Linked DNA regions of Diceros bicornis minor. The main gene of each other region encodes a partner of the protein of the gene in region 2 in a complex. Links are inferred from orthologs where the notes say so. Each region holds a gene or a part of one and is shown on either strand. Other genes may lie near its edges.

Region 1 (7,250 bases), on a different chromosome or scaffold from region 2:
CTCACCCACCCTCAGATGGCCCAGCTTCCCTCCTCTGCTTTAGCACTTCTCAGTCCTTCCACCTGCCTCCCCATCCCTTCTGCTCTCACTGGCGCAGCCAGGGGGCCTGGACAAAGTAGCAGTAACTCACTGTCATGGGAAGAGGTGAGGATGGACTTGAAGGCCGCTGGCCAAGAATCTGAGGGCTGGCTCGGGTGAGTCAGGCACCCCAGGGAGTCAGAGGCATTTTAATCCAACCATGGGGGATTATCTGCTGATAAGGACCAAATCAAGGACCCTGATGATGCTATCTTCAGGGGTTTTTCCCAGTAACCTACCCACATCAGAAAACAGAAGCCTGGATTATTTGAAAGCAACGTTGTGTGTGACTCTGACGGAGACCTGAGTTTGGGGAACAACTTCCAGCAACTTCTTCCCAGGGGCTCCTTGAGTTTAGGCCAGGCCCAGAGGTCATTGGTTTTGATCCTGGGGGTGGGACAAGTAAGTGGTGGGAGACAGTGACTGCATCTTCCTTTGTGCATGTTCCTAATTCAATGATTCATCAAGTGTCCCTGATGTCAGCTGCTGAGGAGGTGACTCACTGCTATCCCTGATAAAGACAGCACGTGGTCCTTTCCACAGGGTGCTCAAGGGAGCAGAGAAAGGATAAACTGTCCTTTTTCCCGGCTTCTTCTACCCAGGCGGGAAAGATCCCGGTTTTGTTAGCTGTGCAAGTGATATGTACCCAGGATCCAGTGATAAAGGCCTAAGAGGAACCCCTTAATCATAAGTGGAGAGAAAACCCATTGATAAGTGATGATCATTTCAAGTAAATCTGGGTACCAGCAGATATTTTAAATGATTCCTTACAACACAGAAGTCATTGCCCAGCTTCCCCGTTGGCAAAGTCCATTTCAATTCCCAAAATTAACTGGAGATAGTATACAGACGAGAATTACAGTGTGGGACAGTGTTTCATTCACCTTTACACCCATCAGGACTAGTGTAATTTATTAAAAAAATGAGGGAATGAATAATTAACTAATAAGAATAATAGTACTTGAATTGGGAGTTCTTAAAATACAGTAAAAATTGCCGGCCACCATTGGTAGCTATAATTCCAAGAAACTCACCACGTTTTTCAAGGGCCCAGGAAAATGAATGAGTTGGAAATTGTTAAATGTACTGAAAAATGATTTATTTTCCCCTTGACAGTGTCACTGGAACTGGAATTAAGATTGAAAACTCCACAGGCGTGTTTCCCTCTGTGGGTGTCAGCTGCCGGGTACACAGGCGTCAGGAAAGCCTCGGCCAGTTCTCCCTTCACCTGAACCAAATGTATTTTAAAGCAAATGATGCAAAACACTGCATTTTGATTTAGCTAAATGGCTTGTTAACAGCAGTAGTTTTAAACAAAAATCACTGTAAAATTGTATAGCAATAGAATCCATAGTACTATTACAGGCTTTCTCGAACAGTGAATATCCCAACGTTGTAAATTAACTCATTCAAAAGCCAGATTTTCATTTAACAATGCTTATTAGGCTAGTTATTAGAGAAAATCAGAAAAGTTCCCCATAAACCCTGTCCCCATTCGACAATGAAAATTGGTCAATAGGACTCTAAAGTTTACTTTCAGAACCCAGACTAGTGAGAAGAAAGTGGGCGGATATTTGCATTTGGTCTAAAGGCACAATTGAGAAGCATTCTGCAGTCCCCACTGTATTTGGTTGACACCCTCAGCCAGCACTGCATTTTAGGCATCTCTATGTTTTCAAATGCATCTGGTATTTAATGTTATGTATTGGAGCAATTTGCCAATGCCAGTTCCTTGTAATTAAAATACACTAATATTAGAAATGAAAAGAGACATGTTTCGCAGCATCCATATCTGTTACTAATGACAGTTACAAAGAATAGAACGTGGGACTCCCTTCTTGCCAAATAGCTTCCTTTCCCACACCTGAATCTCAGCAAAGAAGGGAGGCTACCTCTTTCATGCAGGTTTATCTGGGCTCCTCGATTACAATGAGCCTCAGTCACAGTGCGTTCTGAGTCATTAACATTCTGTACACAGTCAAACTTCCCGTCCCCCAAGAAGGAGTTATGCCCAGGCCTCCTACAGCCTAATTGTTCATTTAAAGAGAGAACTTGTATTCAGGAGCTTGAAAGAACCCTCCGAATATTCCTCAGGTGTTTGTAGGAGTCATTCCTACAGGTCCTGGTCCCTGGGCTGGTGGGAGCATCCTTTCCCGGTCACTGCTTGGACAGTGTAGCATCGGTGGTGCTGCAGGGACAAGCTGACTACTAAAAATAACCCTTTGCAATAAGGCCAAGGCAAACAGCATGCATTTCCTCGGACTTTTTGCCCAATCAAAATCATATAGTAAACCCATCCTCCTCTCTCTCCCCACTGCTCCTGACTGCATCTATGGAAGCGAAGTCCTTGCACGTTGGGAGAAGAGTGCAAAGGAACAGGATTCCTGCAAAGCGTGACACAGAAATCTAGAAATAAATGTTGCCTATTGTTTGAAGTCATTCTAAGCACTCCGGCAGAGTCCTGGCAGGAGATCAGCAGCATACATAAGTAGTAATAAAAGTAAACAGTGCGCTTTTAAACTCGCAGGCTCTGCCGCGTTAATAGTGCCCCCATTGTAAGAGGGATGAGGGCGGTGGGGAAGATACTGGGGCTCCAGGAATCCATGTCGGCAAGTTGCTGCTTCTCAGTCTCCTTTCCCAGGATCAAATATAAGAACGATAACAAAGTTACATCTAACTACGCAGAGAGTTTGAAAATAAAATCTCTTTAAGTCAAACCAAAAGAGATTTTCTAGCCTCTCTGTGAGGCTCCCCTGCTCTGACACAGATTTTAAAGACCCGTTCATTTAAAAAACACAATGCTAGCATGCTACAGATTAATGCAAATTAAATTAATGCAAATTTAAGTGGTATTTAAAGGTAGTCTCTTTGTCTGAGAAGAGGATGAAATGCTCGGTTTGGAAAGAAGTAATTTCCTAGGCAAGCCGTCAGCGCTGGTTTTCCTGCTTACCTTGGGGGAAACGCAGGGCTCCTTTCTTCTCAGACTTTTCTGAGAGCTAGAAAGAGGTCCTGTTACTTCCAAATGCTTTTGTTCTTCTGTCCCTCTGTCACATGGCTTGCCTTTTATATTTGCAACACACAAAAGTTAGGACTGTTGTTTAAGCGACACAGGGAGAGAGAGAGAGGGAGAGAGAGAGGGAGAGAGAGAGAGAGAGAATGTCAAATGGAAAAGTGCCATTGCAGTCATATATCAATCAGGCGTGCGGCCGCAGCAGCGCACTAGCAAATGGGAATGCCACGGAAATGTGAGGCGCTCGTTAGTTATCGGGGACTCACAGCCACTGCCCTCCGCTGGGCTCCCTTCCACGGAGCATCTTACGATGGGAACAACGTACAAGAACAAGGGCAAGGAAATCCGGCCCCCCGCCACTGTTTTTGTATTATGGAAATAACAAGGGGCTAAATGAATATTCTGGATTTAATTCTTTGACAAGCATGTGGCTGCCATAAAGATGTGCAGTCTGCAATAAAGACACATAGTTTCAGAAATACAAAGACTGTGACATTCTGTTTAAGGATTCAGCAGCTGACTGGGATGAAGTTGAAATTCTAAGTAAGAGAGGAGAAAGATCGGAATCAGAGCTACTTGTCAGGCGAGGCTGTTGAAGCAAGTGCAAAACCCTGCCCTATTTTATCACGATGTGTATGGGTGGTGAGAGGTCTTCTTTTCTGAGTTGTTCATCCATTAAATGATTTTTAGCAGCATATCCATGATTAAATCTACAACGGCACTTTAATAAGCACCTTCGCCCGCATCATTTAGAATAAAACTTTAGATTTGATTTAGAAACACCGAGACAGTAGTCCTTGCCTCCTGGAGACATGTGAGTGTGAGAGTAACAGGTAAGGCCAACCCACTGCACTACAACTAGTAGAAAAATGGCAAAGGTAACTATGTGTGTGGTCTAAATGCTTGCTAGCTGGATAATACTGTTAGGAGCTGTGGGAATACAAAGGGAAATATTTCATAATCCTTGCCCTTAAAAGCTTAAAATTAAGACAGAAAACCATCAGCAACTTGGGGGGAAAACACAAAGAACCACTGAACCATTTATAAATTTTTTTATGTCAGCCCCAGCTCCAACATAAGTTTTTTAATTAACACTGATAAAGAATTAAACTGAGAATATGAAAAAATGATGTTTCACGGAAGAGTAACTATATCATAAAACTTAAGAAGAAATTTCTCTCGGGAGCCCAATATAATTGTTGATGCTGAAACTATGTTCAGCTGTATCACATCATTTATTATTTATTAATAAATTGATAATCGCATTATTACTTTTCCACGGAATCTTTAGTCCAAACAGTCATTGATGTTTACAGGAGGCGTCTTAAAATGTTTAGTTTTACCTCCACCCTTTAATAAGAAGCCTCTTTTCTTTTGCTCTACCGGGAAAATCCTGTCTACCTGGGACCAGCCAGTCACAAACAGAATCCACTTACGAGGATAAAGGATAAGTGACAAGTTCAAAGCCTTGAAAGAAAACCTGGCACTTGGCCGATGATGTTGGCTAAATGTCTTAAAAGCAGAAGATCAAAAAGCAAATGGAAATTGGGCCTGAAAAATGGAAATAATCTGAAAGGGGAAATGACTTGTAGCTGAGTAAGAGCCATGGAAATAGTCATGAACACATTTTCTGGCTCAATTTTGTGGATCAGATTGGGAAGGAGAATAAACTCTTTGGCCACCAACGTTTTCACGTATCAGAGCTTGACGTCCATCCACCTTTTCATTTCTCCCGATAAATAATTTGTGGCTCTCTCAACATATGTTCACCACTCCACCCTGCTATCTTTTGCCTTTGGGTTCTCAGAGTCACTCTATCTGCTCCAAAGAAACATGAAAAGGTGTGGTTCTTCCTGGTTGGAATTTTCCAGCCTTCTACAATCTCCCCTTCTGCAAGAGCACCACAGAAAGTGTAAAGATTGCAAACACATTGACTGCTTGGCCACAGAAGACAGGATCTCTCCCAGATGGAGCCCCACTGCTTCCTCCTGCCGTTATTCTGTCAGGGGTGGCGAAGAATACCATCTGTTGCCCCTTTCAAGAGGGAGGCTTTGCCTCCGCCCGTTGGGCTCCAGAGGACTTGTTTCTGAGCCTACCAATAGGTATCTGGCAACAGTAACTCTTTTCATCACATCACCATGCTTTTTAGAAAGGTTACTGTGCCACACGTGGTTACTGGCCATCATTAACATTGCTGAGAAAGAAGGGCTCCCTTTAAATTTCTATCTATGCAAAAAGGGATGAAAATACTCCTGCTGTTATCTCATATGCACTCAGGGTGGAAAAAGTTTGGAGAAGGAGATGTCTGTCAGCTGGATGGGAAATCCTTCAAGGGACCACTCCTGAACCTTTTATTTCTGGTACTGTTTTCAGATTGCCTCTCTCTTGGTAGCTCTAGTGGATATTTACAGGACTCGCCCGGCATCTAAACACCCCTGGAGGGCTGGGTAATTCCAAGGCAGGTTCTGTCTCCTCCCTGCGGAACCTGAAAGGAGCAGCTGTTTCCTCTCCCCTCCTCAGGGCTGCTGGAGACCCAGGTGTGATCAAGCCAGGTTCACCAGATATGCCATCCAGGAGGAGTGGCCAAGGCATGCGGAAAGTCAGAGGTTATTCCCTCTGGGCGCATTGGCATCGAGAGCCTGGAGGTTACAGTGGCCAATGTCGGGGGTAACAGAGCCCAGCCATGTGACAGTGGGTGTCCTGGGGGCACAGGATCCAAGAAGGCATCCTTAGCAGTCTGATCTTTTTGGCTGCATCCATGTTCACCATCATTTAATAAGCCTGGCTCTCCCGTTTTCCTGGTGATTCTGTGAACTGCCCCCCATCACCACACCCACTAAGATCTCTCCAATAAATTCCTTTCTGCTTTAATTACCTAGAGACAGTTTTTGAGGTTGGCAACCAGGAGTCCTGACCTGAACACTACATTTTCCAAATTTAGGCAAACTAACAACATTAACATACGAATGTAAATGTAACCTCTACTTCCTCCTAGCTACCTTCCAAAACAAACAGATGTTTTTAGATTCAATGTCAGTCTGCTATAGTCTCTGCTATAACATTTCAAAAGTAGAAAATTCCTATGTGGGTATATAAAAAGATCCATAGTTCTTATATATAAGTACTTATCAAGATGCCCACTGAAAACAGTACTATTTGACATCATATGTACATGGATACAAACATCGTGTGTGTGTGTAGGGGTGTGTGTGTGTGTGTGTGTAAAATCCCAACATACCAGCATAGTCTGCTAGGCATGTTTTATAATTATCTATGAGAATACTAATCTTTATCATCCTCATGAATATGATAGTCTTCATCCAAAAATACCTATTCATAATAATATCAACTATTTAATGGGTGTTTACTCTCTGCTGGACTCTATGCCAAATATTCTATATGTATTGTCTCTTTTAGAGAGATACACAGCAATCCTATAAGGTAAATACTATTATTCTCTATTTTATAAATGGAGAAATTGAGGCTCTGCAAAGTTCAGTGACTTCCTTGTGGTTGACACAGCAAGCAAATGGCAGAATATGAGCTCTGGTTTTCCTGACTCCAAAGGGCCATGGTTTAGCCACTGTGCCGTGCTGCCCCCATTCAACAGAAACTCACTGAGCAACTCTCTTATAGTAATGATCTGCTATTTGTCAGGGGTACAAATAAAGGTAGAACATGGATCCAGATCTTAAGGTGTTTATGATACAGTAGGGAAAAAAGAAATGTTCTCTTAATGGAGACACTGCAAGGTAAAATGTGATCAGAGCCACAAGAAAAGCAAAAGATATGATAAGATCAGAGGTGATGTGTCCAGGAGAATTCCACTGGGTCTGAGCTTTGAAGGCAAGAGTGGGAACCAGAGGACAAGGGTGAGTTTTTGGAGCAACACATAATCAGACATTTGGCTGGGCCTAAACCTAAACTACGTGATCCAGGAGGATAGGTGAGCAGAGGATGAGCCAGGCTAGGAGCTGCAGCCAGACAAGATTGAAGGAGAGAATAGGGTGGTAAGGCAGTCTGAGGCAAAGGAGAGGTTATGTAAGTGGAAGAAGACAACTGAGGCCGAGGAACGAAGAGAAGTAGCATGGCAGGGATGCAAATAGGTACTTTCATTTATTCATACATTCATTTAACAAATATTCTTTAAGTGTTTCCTACC
Region 2 (8,072 bases):
TGACAAGAATGAGATGAGTGGTGAGACCAGCCAATGAACAGTGATAAGAAAATATCTGGGCAGATTCATGATATAGAGAAATAGGCTTCTGAATCAAACAACAATTTTGGCTAAGACATTTTTCTACCTTAAAAGATTTAAGAATCAGCATAGTAAGACAGAAAAGGAAGATAATTATTGGCAACACATCCAAGTTCAGAAGACAGCTGAAAGCTGTTTTATAGAAGTGGCTTAGAGAATAGACTTGACCATCATTCTGGGGCCAGTTAGGTTGTATTTTGGTGGTTGCCTCTACCCAGCACATAATGCTCTCTTTTTCTGAAGAATTAGAGCACTTATAGCCTGAACCATTCCTTTATTTATTCAACAAGTATCTAGTGAATATCTTCTATGGGTCAGGTAGTGTTTTTCTTTGCTGTTCAGGAACACAGTGGTGAAGAAGACACACCTCTGACCTCAGAGATTGTGAAGGAGACCAAAAACACCAAAAACAAAAACAAAAAAACAAACTTATTTTACAGTAAGGGAGCTCAAGATAAAGCACTTAACTCTAAACAAGCTCTTTCGTGCTTCGTCTCATGTCTTAATCTCCTCCAATGTGACTGCAAGCTCCTGGAAGGCGGGGACCACCTTTTATATGTGTGCATACCTCCTTGTATGGGAATGGCAAGTCCACAATAACCCATCACTAAACATTTGTTAATGGCTTGACTGACAAATACTGAAATGAAATGAGGTCGTGGAGGTACAAAGCGTATTGGCATTATTTTTGGCCCCCTGCAAAGGTTCTTGGTTGCCCATTTGTGCATTAAACAATCACCACCAACAAATAAGAATGTCATATGTACCATCTTATGCTTGGTAGGAGGAACAACAGGGCTTTGATTCCTTGACCCGCAAGAGGTCTGTGGTGACTTGATTCTTCTCTGCTGGCTAGTGGCGCAATGGGTAAGAAGGGAGTTTGGCTCTGCCACTTATGAGCTATTAATTAACCTCTTGCGGACTCTGATTCCTCAACTTTGAGCAAGACTAGCATTCCCTTCCGCTTTACCCAGCACACGTTTTTGTTTTGTAACTAGTTCGGGTGCAGGGGAAGGTGGAGCACCCAGACTATCTATAAACTGATGGGATACAGCATGGCCTCTCCCTATGCTTCTGTTGTTTCACAGTCAATTCTCAATCTTTATGAGGTTTAAGTCCCAGTGAATTTTCCCCTCAAAAACCAAACAGGATAATGAACCACTTTCTTGCAGTTTCCATCAAGACAACTCTTTGTGAGTTCTAAATGTTCTGTCCAGATTCAAAGAAGCTGGTTTCTTCATGAGTGGTTGGAATAAGACTTTTCTTGGAAGCTACTGAATATGGATTAGTTGGATTGTTTCGCAGGAAATAAAAAGCAGGCTCTGGGGTGACTACTTCAGCACTTAATTGGGTTAGCAAAGAACTGCAAATGAGAGGTTTTCCTCAGGAGGGAAAAGATGTTTACGGCCCCCCACCCCTCTAGGTGGTGGATTTTAACCTAAACACTAGTCTTCAAATGCAGCCTTTAATTTAGGAACCATTATAAGAATCTATTAGAGCAGAAAATGTCAGGTTGAAAAATTAACACATCACAGGAGTTAATTAGAACCCAGCCTCTCATTAGATGCAAATGGAGAGCCCTCCAACTGCCCAACAGCCTGCTGGAGTCATGTTTGTTGCAGCTCCAAAGTGGCTGTTATCCTTACTTTCAGACAGTGGCCAGAGGAATGTGCCCAGGCAGTCCTGCCAGAGCCACTAGGGGTCCCTGGCCTGCCTTTTAGGTTAACGGAATGTCCTATTCACGTGTCCCTTCTTCTACTCCTCTCCTAAACGCTCTGCATGTTACAGGGTGGACAGACCTCTGCCTGGAATTGCCTCAGGGACGTGTTTTCTGCAACAAAGACAAACATGCCATGCCTGTCACTGGGAGCAGACTGGTGACTGTGTAAACCACTCTGAGACAGGGAGGCTGAGGGGCTCCAGGCCATTCAGACTTAGCTCTGAGTTGTGGTCTTTGTTTTCTTTCCACATTCAGACTGAAATGTGATTCCTCTGGCTTTCTTTTTTGGAAAATACCTGCAATGAGTTCCATGCCGGAAAAGAAAAGCTGTTGACAGGAAAAGCTTCTGACGGGGAAGGGGCTTCTTCAAGTGTTCTCAAAGGAGACAGGGGCTTCAAGGAAGCTGAGGCAGGGATGCCAGGGCTGGGAACAAGAGGTCCAGATCACAAAAGGGTCGTCTTTAACTAAGGATTAGGCTGAGTGTCAAGCAGTTTCCTCTGTGAGAGCAATACCACGCAGAGACTTTTGGGCCAGGCAGACATGCATCTGAGCCCTTCTCTGTCACTTACTGTGTGATCCTGGGGAAATTGCTTAACCTCTTAGAACATTAGTTTTCTCAAGCTCTTGCATGTGATAGATGAGATAATGCATGTAAAGCAGGTAAGACAGTAGCTGGCACAGAGGAAGGGTTCTATATGAGTTATTTGTTATTGATTTAATAATAGTATTCCTTCACCCAACACTAATGGTTTTCCCTCTGTGTGCCAGGCCCTGTGCAAGGGAAAGCTCTTGCTCCTTGACCTCATGGAGTTCACTGTTTAATAAACCGTGTACACATATGTTTAGCACAAAGCAAGCCCCCCTCCCCTCCTCGCAAGTGCCCTGGGAGAAGAGCCCACTGCACATTAATTCTGCTTTGTTGAGTAGCTCAGAATCCTACAGGTCATCCCCTTGGAGCCGCCCTCCAAACCCAGCTACCTCTACCTTCAATTTATCCACAATTCTCTGTGCACTTATCACATTCAGTTCCAGTTGTCTGTTTCTTCTTTGTCTCCTCCTGTGAGTTCCTAGAGGGTGAGGATCATCTATTCACTTGATTCAGTCATCTAATCATTTATTTATCTTTGTAGGCCAATAGTCTCATGCATTACTCAGCACAGGCATACAGAAGATTCACCCCTACTGCTGAGTATGTAGATTTCCAGCTGGGAACTTTTCTGGTGAAATAACCCTGCCCCCATCTTTGAAAGGCCTCCTTTGGGCCCTGGTTTGGTTGGTCTTTCATTTTCTAAGTATCACTATGGCTCAAACCTCAGTTTCTTCATCTCTTTAAGGGTGAGCTTCTTTTCCTGGGAGGTTATGATGATGGCTGGAGACAACGCAGCTTCTATGTGCCCAACACAGTTCTAGGCACAGAGCAAAATTACCAAAAAAAGTTGATTCCATTCTTGCCCTCAGCCAAGTCCAGCTGCCAATATAAGAAAACTAAAAATACAAGACACATATAAGCACTACATGAGTGGTGCAGACATCCTTCTAACTTGTATCCAGCCTTTGCCTTATGCCAGACTTGGCTGACACGGGAGGATACAAACATGCATAATAACTTGGTCCCTGTCTCCAAGCCCCAGGAAAACAGTGGCAAGTGTTGGACAAAAAGATCTCAGAAGAGAGTAGAAAGCTCTTTACCCAGATCCTCAGACCTGGGCTGCAGGAGATTGGAAAGCAGGAAAGCAGGAGGTTGTCCCAGAACAACAACAATATCTAAGTTATTGAGCACTTACTGTGTGTCAGACACTCTGCTAAATGATTTACTGGCATTATCTCACTTAACTCTTAGGCCAACTGTGTTGGGCAGTCATACACTTCCTTATTTTACAGATGGCCAATTTGAGGCTCAGAGAGGCACAGTAGCTTGACCACAGTCAAGCAACAAGTAAATAGCTTAGGAATCCACCTGTCGAGGGTTTCACTGGCCCAACTGGAAAGCGGAGAGGGCACACTGGCACAAAGCTCCGTCCGAGGGGTGGGGGTGGGGGAGAGGGCTGGGAATGAGCGAGGCGCGAGTTGGAACAAAACACGGGTCGCAAGATCCCCAGATCCCCAAAACCCTAAGCAGAAGCAGAATAAGTTAGAAAAAGATGCAGGCTGCAGGGGAGGGTTGCCTGGGGGCTGGGGGAGGGGAGCCCCGGCGGTTATGCGCCTTCTTCGCCCCCGGTGCACAGGTCAAGCGTCTCCCCTCCCGCCCTCTCACCCTCCCAACCTTATTTAGAAACCGTGTCCCCGAGACAGGAAGGGCGGCGGGCCGAGAAGCACGGAGCGTCCCGGTCTCATTTCCTCTCGAATCCCCCTGTGGAATTTCATTTCATACGGTGAGGAAATCGGAGCGCGAGACCGTCGGCTGCTCGGCTGCTCCGGGGCGCCTCCCCCACTCGCGGCTGGAGACCTGCAGCTCCCGGGCGCAGGTCGGGCCGAGTCTGGGGGCGGGAAGAGGGGGCCGGGCTCCAACCCTAGCAAGTTAGGAGTGAAAATAGCTGCGAGCTCGCGCGGTACCAGGCACCGTGCTCAGCGTTTTGTGCATTATCTCTAATCCTCCCAAGTCACTTTACGGGTGAGGAAACTGACGCCGAGAGGTTGAGCAAATTGCTCAAAGTCACACAGCCGGGATTTAAAGCCACAATCTTTGTCAATCCAAATCCAGTGTTCTTTGTGTAGGATAGGGATACGGAGGTGGCCACGGGCCGAGGTGACAGCTGGAAAACGGAAAGGGAAGCAAGCCGACTGATCTGGGAGCACTTCTCACCTGAAAGAGGAGGGCGCAAGCTACCTTGGCCGGAGCGACTGGGCTCTATCCCAGCGCGGCCCCTGAGCGCCGCGAACCCGGTGGGAGGAAAGTGAGAGCCGGGAAGCGGGGCGGGGCGCTCCGGGGAGGGGGGGGGGAACGGAGGAGGGGGGCCGGCGGGTGGCGGCCTGACCCTTCCAGCGGCGGAGCGGCCCCGCCCCTCGCTGCCCACGGTGCCCGGCCATTGGAGGGGCGCGCTGTCCGTCCCGCCCCGCCGCCGCCCAGCGAACCTCCAGCGCCGCGGAGGGCTCGGGCGGTGAGAGCGGTGCGGCGCTGGGTGCTGGCGGGTTCCGCCGAGACGCCGAGCGGACGCAGCTGGCGCTGGGTTGGGGCTCGCCGCTTGCAGCCATGACCCTCGTAGTCTGTCCGTCGGCCCCGGCCCGGGGCGTCTAATATCCCACACAGACGCGCGCAGCTGCCGGAGAGCCGGCCGCTGCCCCCTCGTCGCCCTTGGTGCCTTATCACACTCCCCTTCTCGGAGCTGGGAGCAGCGCGGGCAGCCGACGCCCCCGTGCAAACTGGGGGTGTCTGCTGGAGCAGCCCCCGCCGCCGCCGCTGCTGCCCCCGGCTCTGGCCATGGCCTGGCGGGGCGCGGGGTCGAGCGTCCCGGGGGCGCCCGGGGGCGTCGGTCTCAGTCTGCGGCTGCTGCTGCTGTTGCTGCTACTCCTGGGGCCGGCGCGGGGCTTCGGGGACGAGGAGGAGCGGCGGTGCGACCCCATCCGCATCTCCATGTGCCAGAACCTGGGCTACAACGTGACCAAGATGCCCAACCTGGTGGGGCACGAGCTGCAGACGGACGCCGAGCTGCAGCTGACAACGTTCACGCCTCTCATCCAGTACGGCTGCTCCAGCCAGCTGCAGGTGGGCACCCCACCCCCACCCCTGGCGGGACCCCCTGGGCAGGGACGCCCCAGACTAACTCCGTGGAGGCCTTGCCAAGTCGAGCCCTTTGCCCCCTTCCTAGACTAAAGGGTAAAACTATCCTGGAAAAGTGATTTCCATCCCCACCCCCACTTTTCAGTCCTTTCTCAGGGACTGGAAGCCAAAACGTTGTGTAAGTCGTCTGGCCTGCGAAAGAACCCACTCGTACACCCGCCCTTCCGTTTTCTCCCCTGCCCACCCGTGTCTGGCCAAGCCCCTAACCCCAGTGGACCTGAGGGTTATCTTTGCCAAGGATTCTGGCCGCCGCCGCTCGGTGGGCGAGTTCCCGGCAGGGCAGCCAGCTGCAGCTAAGACTTGGAAGGAGAGATAAGGAGACGAGAACTCCTCCTCCCTCACCGTCCTCCCTTCTCTCCCATATTTTTGGGTGGGTTATTAAATGAAACACCACTGCCCGGTTGTCTGCCGAATGGCCCCTCCTGGCGTCATCCTGCATGATTTTAGAGGTCATGCAGGAAGCAATGGTTGAATTGGCTTGAGTTCGTTCTTATCCTCAGGGTTGAGGGCAGGTTTTGTTACTTGGAGGGGGAGACAACTCAGCTTGGGAAAAAGGTAATGTTTATGGACAAGCTTCAGGAAGGTAGTTTGTGTATTGGGAAGTTTTTTTTTGCAGTCATTAAAAATTTTAAAGATTATGTAATGACATAGAAAATGTTCATCCTACAATAATAAGTGAAGAAACAATTTACATATACAGGGTGATTATAATCTTACAAAAACAACAACCAATTCATTAAAAAAAAAAAAAGAACTGAAAGGAAATTTGAAAAGTTTAACACTGGTTGTGTTTTGGTTAGTGAAGGTAAGAGTGATTTTTAGAAATTTAGAAAAGAGAGGTTGGGAAAAAAATAGAAGATAGTTGTCCAGGCTAAAAGCTTCAGAAATCCGTGGTTCTGGCTGTTAACTTCTGAAAGATAAGAAACAGGCAGGCAGCTTACTTACTAGGTGCATGTTTTTACACACGTCATTTTAAAAGTTGGATTGTGGTTTCAGAAAGATGGTTGGGATTAGACCTGTTGCTGGTGAACTCTCCCTTTGGAAGTTTCAGAACTTTAGAACTAGGTTATAAAAGCTTAAGAAATGATCCTCTAGCCCTCAGTTTGGAAACAGCACATATCCTGACATCAGTTGCAATTTCGTTGGAGAAACAGCCTTTGCAGGGATATATATTTTTAATTACATGTATCCTGGGGAAGCAGCCAAGCTGTTTTGAAGGACAGGACTGGATCCCTTTACATACTGGAAAATAGTTACTTGTAACTCTAGACTTCATAGACAACATCTGTAAGGAGCCAAGCAGACTGTTTATCAATGCTGGAGGAATTGAGGACAGCAACTGGACTCTCCCCTGCTGGTAGTGCAGTTTCAGGGACTTAACATTTATATTTTCCTGTTGTGCTTCATTGAGAAAACCTGGCCAAACAAGCCCTTGGTGACTGGAGACCTCAACCTGCCTCCCATCCTTGGGTCTAACAGTGTCTCAATTAGGACGTTTTCTGTTTCGTTATGGGACTGATTAAAAAATAATTTTAGGAGATAAAGTAGAGAATATTAACAGGAGAAAAGGTAGATCTACATTTTTTTTCTTATGGTGATAAAGAAATGGGGATAAAAAGAAATCACCTCATCACCGAAATGACTGAGTCACTTAATTAGTCTGTTCAGTTCTTCCAAATAGTAGCTGAAAGGGGAGGGTGACTCAAAGTGCGTTTTTTAGGTTTATTTCCTTAAGTGTTGTGCAGAAAGGTATTATGTAATTCTTCAGGTCCTTTTTATGCATGTATTTATTTATGTTCTCCTGGAAAGGATTACTAGAACCAAAAGAAGAAAAGTGTGTAAGTGATGGATTATTAGGCACCCTTGTTGGAGGTCACAGTAAACAGTCAGACTCTCTATAGGCTGGTTTAAAAGTAGATACGTACTTTGCCTGGAAGCGTTCAGCTCAGCTTTGTGCAAGTGTTTGGTCAGACTTCCAAGTCATTGTTTTCTTTGTTCATTTCATGACTTTTCCAGTTCTTCCTTTGTTCGGTTTATGTGCCAATGTGCACAGAGAAGATCAACATCCCCATCGGCCCGTGCGGCGGCATGTGTCTTTCAGTCAAGAGACGCTGTGAACCTGTCCTGAAGGAATTTGGATTTGCCTGGCCGGAGAGCCTGAACTGCAGCAAATTCCCGCCACAGAATGACCACAACCACATGTGCATGGAAGGGCCGGGTGACGAGGAGGTGCCGTTACCCCACAAAACCCCCATCCAGCCTGGGGAAGAGTGCCATTCCGTGGGAGCCAATTCCGATCAGTACATCTGGGTGAAAAGGAGCCTGAACTGCGTTCTCAAGTGTGGCTACGATGCTGGCTTGTACAGCCGCTCGGCCAAGGAGTTCACCGATATCTGGATGGCAGTGTGGGCCAGCCTGTGCTTCATCTCCACCGCCTTCACGGTGCTGACTTTCCTCATCGATTCTTCCAGGTTTTCCTACCCTGAGCGCCCC

Evidence for each region.
Region 1: the proteins of FZD4 (region 2) and NDP are in contact, whole or in part, in a crystal structure (PDB 5BQE), measured with the Homo sapiens proteins. The link is inferred for Diceros bicornis minor from reciprocal best matches to the Homo sapiens genes FZD4 and NDP. Residues at the interface, in NP_036325.2 of Homo sapiens: Ser51, Met52, Gln54, Asn55, Leu56, Gly57, Gln95, Phe96, Met105, Thr107, Lys109, Ile114, Asn152, His154, Met157, Cys158, Met159, Glu160, Gly161, Pro162; in NP_000257.1 of Homo sapiens: Asp33, Ser34, Pro36, Arg38, Met40, Arg41, His42, His43, Tyr44, Val45, Asp46, Lys58, Met59, Val60, Leu61, Lys102, Lys104, Leu106, Tyr122, Leu124, Ser125.

Annotation. Positions count from the first base shown.
Region 1 is NC_080781.1:38,280,715-38,287,964, forward strand, and holds the start of NDP (norrin), read right to left. Parts: upstream 3,058-7,250; 5' UTR 3,029-3,057; intron 1-3,028. UniProt on the Homo sapiens protein: Activates the canonical Wnt signaling pathway through FZD4 and LRP5 coreceptor.
Region 2 is NC_080746.1:45,769,927-45,777,998, forward strand, and holds the start of FZD4 (frizzled-4), read left to right. Parts: upstream 1-5,054; 5' UTR 5,055-5,219; coding exon 5,220-5,504; intron 5,505-7,595; coding exon 7,596-8,072. UniProt on the Homo sapiens protein: Receptor for Wnt proteins.